Linked DNA regions of Cricetulus griseus. The protein of the gene in region 2 interacts with the protein of the main gene of each other region in a pairwise test. Links are inferred from orthologs where the notes say so. Each region holds a gene or a part of one and is shown on either strand. Other genes may lie near its edges. The genes, in order: Mbd1 and Chaf1a.

Evidence for each region.
Region 1: the proteins of Chaf1a (region 2) and Mbd1 interact in binary tests that used the Homo sapiens proteins (3 or more experiments, as listed by UniProt). The link is inferred for Cricetulus griseus from reciprocal best matches to the Homo sapiens genes CHAF1A and MBD1.

The regions. Positions count from the first base shown.
Region 1 is NC_048595.1:165,541,458-165,545,265, reverse strand, and holds part of Mbd1 (methyl-CpG-binding domain protein 1), read left to right. Parts: coding exon 1-109; intron 110-482; coding exon 483-593; intron 594-676; coding exon 677-745; intron 746-1,328; coding exon 1,329-1,496; intron 1,497-1,819; coding exon 1,820-2,116; intron 2,117-2,204; coding exon 2,205-2,351; intron 2,352-2,709; coding exon 2,710-2,841; intron 2,842-2,928; coding exon 2,929-3,002; intron 3,003-3,190; coding exon of another isoform or gene 3,191-3,224; exon of another isoform or gene 3,225-3,368; intron 3,369-3,808. UniProt on the Homo sapiens protein: Transcriptional repressor that binds CpG islands in promoters where the DNA is methylated at position 5 of cytosine within CpG dinucleotides. Binding is abolished by the presence of 7-mG that is produced by DNA damage by methylmethanesulfonate (MMS).
Region 2 is NC_048598.1:97,507,744-97,512,295, forward strand, and holds the start of Chaf1a (chromatin assembly factor 1 subunit A), read right to left. Parts: upstream 3,008-4,552; 5' UTR 2,890-3,007; coding exon 2,850-2,889; intron 1-2,849. UniProt on the Homo sapiens protein: Acts as a component of the histone chaperone complex chromatin assembly factor 1 (CAF-1), which assembles histone octamers onto DNA during replication and repair.

The DNA.
Region 1 (3,808 bases), on a different chromosome or scaffold from region 2:
TCGGGGCTGTCAGACCCAAGAAGACTGTGGCCGCTGCCGAGTCTGCCTTCGCCCTTCCCGCCCTGGTGTCAAGCGCCAGTGGAGGTGTATGCAGCGGCGCTGCTTTTGGGTGAGTCAGGCTGAGAGACCAGTGCTGGTGGAGCAAAGGCTGGGCCAGTGCTCATTCTGCTATTAAATTTACCACCATGGCTGCTGTTGCTTCCGCCTAATCTGGCTTTGCCTGCCTCATGTCATATTTTCTTTTCTGTCCCATGCTCACCTCCTTGGTTCTGCCTATCTGCCTTTCTCTGCCAGCACTTTGCTCATCGTTTCCGTGGCCACCCTCAAGGATGTCACCGGTGCCCTCCCCAGGTTGTGGTTTCCCCCACTGTGAGTGTCTGACTGCACACTCCACCTGACCAGTCAGTGCATGGCTCCTGCACTCCCCGGGGGTCCAGTGTCTACTTGGTACCACCAAGCCTTAGCTGGCTTTCGACTTCTAGGGTAAACATAACTGTCGTAAGAGTGGCTCGAAGGTGGCTGCCCAACATCACTCCCAAGCTCAGCCACGGCCTCCACTTCCTGCATCGAAGCACCCAAAGCCCACAGAGCTGGTAAGGCCCTGGTGGGCAGGGGGACGGCACAACCCTAAACTTACTCAGGACCTGCCCTGACCCCAGCACATTTGCCTCTGCAGCACATCAGCGACCTAGCGCCCACATCACCTGCTGAGCTCATCTATTACTGTGTAGACGAGGACGAGCTAGTGAGTGGCCCCACCTTACCTGGATAAACCTAGATGCCCCTGATGCTTCTGTAACCCCAAGGAAGCAGATGCTGTAATGGGACAAGTAGGGAGTAATAGTGCATACTAGGATGGATAAGCAATTACTGGGGAAGAAGGAGTTAGCAGTGCTGTGCTTACTGTCAGATGGACCAACATCAATGGCTGGTGCACGACAAACAGGCTGAATGGTGACATTCACAAAGGTGCAGGTAAATACGTTTGTATAGAGTAACTAGTCAACACAGCTGGCGGTGATGAGGACTAATTGAAGGTCAGCAGAGTCCTGGTGGAAGTGAGGGCCAAAAAAGACATTGTCTGGATAGCAGGTGCTCTAATAATACAGTAATGGTGCAGCCTCAGTCCTAATGGTCTTGGAGGCCAGCTGGCACAGTGATTGTGGCATAGTTTGAAATCTCAGATGCCGAGGAGAGGTTGTGGGCTGAGCCTCATGTGTAGCTAGCTCCTCATGGGGGCTAGAGGAACACCAGGAACTACTGAAATGGGTGTTGAGGACGGCCTCTCCTAGTCTTAGTGACAGTAGCACCATTCCCCTCCACCCCAGCAGCCCTACACGAATCACCGGCAGAACCGCAAGTGCGGGGCCTGTGCAGCCTGCCTACGGCGGATGGACTGTGGCCACTGCGATTTCTGCTGCGACAAGCCCAAATTCGGGGGCAGCAACCAGAAGCGCCAGAAGTGTCGTTGGCGCCAGTGCCTGCAATTTGCTATGGTGGGTGGGGCAGGAAGGGTTAGGTGGATGGGCTAGGTTGGGCCTGGCCCACCCCCGCGTTTGGGAGTGGTAGGCAGGCCTGGTAGATGGGTGGGTGGTGTATTGACTCCAGTTTAGGATTCACAGACAGTGTGTTGGGGTGAGTCCAGCTCTCCTGCCATTACTAACAGGAGATGGATTATCAGGCTCAGTGATGAGAGCTCATGTTAGCAGCAGGGTCTCTGCTGGGTCTGACAGGAAGTTAGCAGGCACATTGAGTAGGGCAGGGTGGGTAAGGTCATATGGCACCAGGTTGACCACAGCACTTAATCTTTTTCTCACAGAAGCGGCTGCTGCCCAGTACTGGGTCAGGGTCTGAGGAGGGAGCAGTGTCACCCCCACGTCATCCTTGTCGAAAGAGGCCTCGTTCTCGACAGCTCCATGTGAGCCCTTCCTCAAAGGCCCCTTTGGCTGTGCTTACAATCCCACCAGGCCCTGCCCAGGCTTCAGCCAAGCAGCAAGTAGGTAGAGACTCTGTGCTGCCCCCACCTGACACAGACCTTGTGTTTTTACGAGAAGGTGCCAGCAGTCCTTTGCAGGTGCCTGGCCCTGCTGCAGCTTCCTCAGAAGCCCCATTACAGGTAAGGATCTCTCCCCACTCTTCCAAGCTCCACCCAGCCTTGTGCCATGGAGCTGAGACCAAGTCTGTTGCCCTCTTTTCTTATGCAGGAGGCCCAGTGCTCTGCCCAGAGTTGGGCTGTGACCTTGCCTCAGGTGAAACAAGAGAAGGCCGATGCTCCAGAGGAGTGGACAGCAGGCACAGCCTTTCTGACTTCATCCACGTTGCAGCCTGGCTGCCCTAGCAATGTTGAGGAGGTAATGAGTGTCCTATGGGTGCCATACAAGTGGTCTGTAACCAGAATTATAGTGAGCCATGATGGTGGTACTGGGAATAGTGATGGTGTGCTGATGATGACCAGTCTGTTGAATTATCCAGCATATCTAGCAGGTGCTGTACTCTCCATAGGCAACTAAGTTTGCCTGCCATACTGCCCAGCTCACAGGAGACTGAAGATTGTTGAGGAATGGCAGAGAGATGGCATTTCTTAGTGATAAAAGTGAGGTCTATCTGCATAATGGGTTGGCTAATTAAAAAAAAAAAAACAAAAACAAAAACGAAAACCTTGCTTCAGGCTGACCCTGTCCTAACTACTGCCCTTCCTCATTCTCCTAGGCAGTAGACCCAGACCTTGTACCTGTGAAACAAGAGCCTGCTGGCCCTGAGGAGGATAGAGAAGAAAACAGACAAGATTTTGTCTCTGCATCAGCCCCAGAGGAGGAGACAGGAGGGGTTGGCACACCAGTGGTCAGTGCTGGGGGACGTTCCCACCCTGCCCTGATCTTGCTTTCTCTCCTCCTGTCATGCTGACCCATGATGTTAATTCTTTCCTAGATCACAGAGATTTTCAGCCTGGGTGGAACCCGCCTCCGGGATGCAGCAGCCTGGTTGCCAAGGTGCCCCATACAGTTAGGTGTGGGGATGGGGTGGGTGCCTGCCACATGTGGGCCCTTAGTTTTAAACCTAGGGTCAGCAATTTGATTGGGTGCAGAGGGACATAAAGGCCTGCAACCGTTCCACTGCACAAACAGTAAGGGGGTATTTTGTGCAGTACTGTGAAGATTTGCTCTTGAGATCCAGCCTGTTGGTATTCCAGGGCTCTCCTCTTGGGAAAGGAACAGAAGGACTGATGTGCCGTGATGAAATTGGAAAGAAAACAGATTAAGTGAGGCTGGTCCCCTTTTAAGGGTCAGACTTGACATAAGCATTCTTACTCAGAAGATCACCATTTATGGTCTTGAAGGCCTTAGAAGTCTCCATGAGCCCATTATTGGGTGAGCTGTCCCTGATGATGGGAAGAATGTGTGTCACACAGATGACATTGGACTTGCCCAAGCAGTGGAGTTAGGGGATTGGGCTTTAAGTGGCTCTGCAGGCTGAGTCTGTGTGTAGCTGTGTGATCTCAAGTGTGTCCCCCACTTCCTAGAGTAGCCTCTGTGGGAGATTTGGGCTGTGTGTCCCAAACCTTTCCTGTTGAGTTTACTGTTTCAGATACTGTAGAACTGACCCAGTTAAGTCTAGTAACAGAGGTGAGAAGAGATGCCATTGTGGTAGTGGAAGGAGGACCACCCCCAAGGTTAAAAAAAAAATCTCCTGGGCCAACCACCTGGGTGCCATTGCTCCCACACACTGGTTTTAATGGCTAGGAAACCTGATAGTGTAGGAGATGGAGATGACTGAGACCCTGCCTGGTGTAGAGCAGATGGGGACTTCC
Region 2 (4,552 bases):
ACTCGGCCCTTGAGCCCTATCATCAGCCCATAGAGACAGCTTTCATGGCTGGGGGTGTTGCTCATCTCTAGATGACACACAGGCACTCCCCTTAAACAGCCTGCAATGAATAGGCCGGCCCCACAACGAAGAATTATTTGGCTCAAAATGCCAACACTGAGCAATTCTACACTAGACTCGGTACCCTGCGTTGAGTTTCTCTGTGGGCCTTGCTCACAAACTGTTGTATTATGTCCCCTACTGGATGCCAGCACAGTGACCTGATCCATGCTGTACCCAGACTTCCCTCCTTTGCGCTTGAATACACTGGAAATTGATGAACAGTGAGCAAAAAGCAAGGGCATGAGTGAACACACAGAAGAGCCAATCATGAGGTGATGCTCGTCATCCCAGGACTGAGGAGGTAGAGGTAGGAGGGTTGCCTCAACTTCAAAGCCACTCTGGGCCACATAGAATTCTAGTTATGGTTAAACTGCCCAAAGCTACCTCAAAAAACACATGAACTGGTGAGAGAGTTCAGTGGGTAGGGGCGCTTTCCAAGCCTGGCAAGCTGAACTCAATCCCCAGGACCCATACAGGGGAAGGAGAGAATTAACTCCCACATGTCCTTTGACCTACACACACACACACACAGTGACTGTGGGGATAGACAGGGGATCAGCAATTAAAAGCACTTGCTGCTCTGGTCCCATCATCAGATTCAACAGCTCACAACTACAAGCCCAGCTCCAGGGGATCCGATGCCCTCTCTGGTCTCCATGGGTACCTATCTCACATGGACAGAGACATACAAAGATGCATAATATCAAGTAAATCTTTAAGTAAACCAACTTAAAAATTATTTTTCAAGCAAAGGCATCATAGTCTTAAACGGATGAATATATAAGTAAATGAAATGAATACATTTTGTGGCAGAAGCTGTAGTTATGTCAAGGCATAAGAAGGAACCTGGGTTGAGCTCAATGGGTAGCACACTGTCCTAACATGCAGGAAGCTCTGGGTTCCATCCACAGCCCTGCAGAAGCCAGGCAAGGTGACACTTGGAGGTAGAGGCCAGCCTAGGCTACACGGGACCTTGTTTTAAAAATAACTAAAAAATAAAAGACCCCAAGAGAGACTATTTCTCACTAAAATAAAAACCTCAGGAAGTATGTAAGCACACCAAAATCCATGCATGTAGAGCCATAAATAGAACTGTTTTTTTGTTTGTTTTGAGACAGTGGCTCTCTATGTAGCCCTGACTGTCCTGGAACTTAATAAATAGACCAGACTAGCTTACATACTCACAGAGATCCTCCTCCCTCCGTTCCCAAAGGCATGCACCGCCATGCCTGGCTCAGAACCTGTCTTTGAGTAAATGCCTTTAAACAGATGGCTCAGGTGTAGAAACTCCACCTGCGAGGCGATTTTTTAAGTGAACAAAAAACCCCTTCAGTAATATGGGGAGCATTCCCATACATTTTGCTATATGAAATTCAGACTCAACTCTGGACAACCTCAGCTGTCCAGAGTGGAGACAGCCTCGTCACCCCGGCTTAGACTCGGACTCCTACCTAGAACACCCATGCCCCTTTTCTCCTATTTGAATGGAAGAAAGGTAACATTGCCCTGTTTTCTACTGCCAAAAAATATGGGTTTTCCTGAAAGACATCCTTTCTTTAGAATTTTTATTACATTTTAATTAATTTGTTGTTGGGAAGGCTTGTGGGATTGATTCTCTCCTTCTACCTGTGATAGAATTCAGATGGTGAAAGGCCAGATCAACCTGGAGCTCATCATCCTCCTGCCTCAGCTTCTAAGATGCCGGAACTGCAGGTACAAATTACCACACCCATCTTGTCTTTATTACCAATAGTGTTGGTAAAAAAGTTCTGCCTTGGTTAAACAAAAACAATGCTCCATGATAGTCTAGGTAGTTTTATGAATGTTAGTTATGTCTTCATAAAATCTTAAGCCAGTCAGGACAACAGATCCAGCCTTGCTGGATCTTACTGGGCTGTGTGTGTGTTTGGGGGTGGGGGTGGCATATCTTTGGTGGTCAGAACCGTAGCAGAGGGCCGGAATTATCCCAGAAGTGGATGGAGATGGAGGACGCTGCTCTCTATCCCAGAAACTGCCTATCCACTAACGTCCAAGCTTTCAGACTGGTATAACATACTCAGAAGGGACCATCCTAAGTGCCCCAAGTGGTGCTCAATTGGTGAACTCTTAGTCCATCAGGATGCGACCCCCTCCAGTCTCAGGGTAGGACTCAGGGTAGGATTCCGTGCCAACTGCTGGGAGTACAATTCAGAGTCAAGCAGGGGGACTAGGCACCCCACATTTAGGGAAGCCTGCCTCATGCTACACAGAGTCCTGACACGTACCCCGCAGGGCTATATCACACTCACAAAAGCGAGCTTCCTGGTCATGCTTGCCAGGCAAAGTCTCCATCATCCTGGGCTTGCCCTGCCCGAGACAGCTGCGGGGTACTCTGGTGTCCAGAGCTCAAGTGACCACAGGCCTCAGTTTCCCCACCCACTGCAAAGGTCTGACTCACTCGAGAATTCGCAAATACATTTAATAATTTGCAAAAGTGACGCTACCCCCCTTCCCGGCCTCAGTTTCCCCACCTGCAACAAGAGGACACAGATGCATTCAGGACCCATCAAGGGCGACCCGGGGCCTGTTTCCCCATCAGCTACTAGGCCCTCGTTATTTGGGCTACACGGAACCTTCGGGAGCCTGCAAAGCTGACCCTTCCCCCTCCCCGGGGCCTCAGTTTCCCCTTTGCGAGCCCTCGCGTCTCCGCATCTCAGCCCCCAAGCACCGGGCGCGGACCCGGTCCTTCGGGCCGCAGCTTCACCCACCTACGGCTGGCGGCGTCGCGGCGTCCGGCTCCTCTAGCATCGCGGCGGCGACCCCGCTACGCTCTCCGCCTCCCGCCGGTGGCGCTACTGCTGCCGCCGCGGCCGCCGCGCTCGTATTTGGCGGGAACCGCGGCAACCACCGCGGCCCGTGCGCCGATTGGACGGGAGCCCGTCACGTGACAGCCCTGCCTCAGGAAAAGAGGGGCGCTCGGCGCGTCCTCGCGAGAACTGCGGGTCATACGCCCAAAAATCCCGCGGGAGGTGGAAGGAGGAGGACTCCTTTCCGGCGGTTCTTGAGTGGCTACGGAGCGGCACGTTTCTACTGGTAGGATGCAATGTCAATCTAAGAGCCCTCCCTTTTATTGGCTATTCGTGGGAGGAAGTGGGGCGGTTACGTCACGATCCGCGCCAGTGACAACTTGAAATTACTGATTAGAGGAGGAATCTGAAGTGAGTTTATCCTAATTAGTGATTGGTTCAAAGTAGCTACAGCAATTAAAACTGGGGATCACTTCCTTTCATTGTTAATTCACAAGTACTTCCTGTTTTAACTATAAATTACTTAAAAAAAATATGAGTTACTTTTCTGAAATGATGAACCGCTTTTTTAAAAATTACGATTTGCTTTATTTATAAGTAGAATTTTTTTGTTGTAAGATTATAAATTACTTTCAAAGTCGTTAATTACCTTTTTAGTGTGAATTACTTTGAAGATATATTAATTTAAAAAAATTGTTCATTGAGTTTGGTGGTGGGAGCTTTAAACCCTAGTACTTGGGAGGCAGAGGCAGGCAGATCTCTGTGACTTTGAAGACATCCAGGCCAGGTCTGCATAGCCAGTTCCAGGCCAGCCAGCGATACAATGTATCAAAACATTATTAATTGCCTTCTTTTTTTTCTTTCCTTTTTTTGAGACAGGATCTCACAATGCAGCCGTGCTGGCCTGGTACCCACCAACCAGTTTCTAAAATGTTTCATCTGTTAGGTGGAGAAAGAAACCTTTCCCTCCTTCATCTGCAAACAGCTCAATGCCCACAACAGTTCTTTTCTTGAAGTTGTGGCTAGTAAGTGGGTTCTTAATAGAATAACTGTATGAATTGCTTTTTGGCCATAAACTCAGTGAAAGTGTCAAGGATCTCATCAAACCTTTGACTTGCTGCGGAAGTATAATCAGATTGCACTGTGCAGATCTTCTTGTACACCTGTCAACCCTGCACTTGGGAGAGGAAGGCAGGAAGATCCAGAATTAAAGGCCAAGGCAGGTTGAAGTTGACACCAGCTTGGGCTCCATGAGACTCCATCTCAAAACCCATATAAAATAAAGAACATCCTTGTATCAACCTGTGGTGGCTAGCATGCTAGGAATCTGGCTGCAGTCTCCAGTTACACACACACACACACACACACACACACACACACACGTTTTTGAAACCAGACTTGTCGTCATAAGCCTGTCATTGCAGGAGCAGGAAGGTGAGGCAAGAGGATCAGGAATTGAAGACCAGCTTGTGCTATGTGGGATCCTGTCTCAAACAAAACCTATTCGTAATCCACCATGTACAAAGGCTCCTATAGTCATGAGCAATAAGGATGACATTCACATGTTCTTTTCATCTACCACACTGCATTCTGTTGAGTCACTGGGAACCTTCCAGAAATCTTGGCTTCATGGAATCACTTGTCAGCAATTTCAACACCAGATT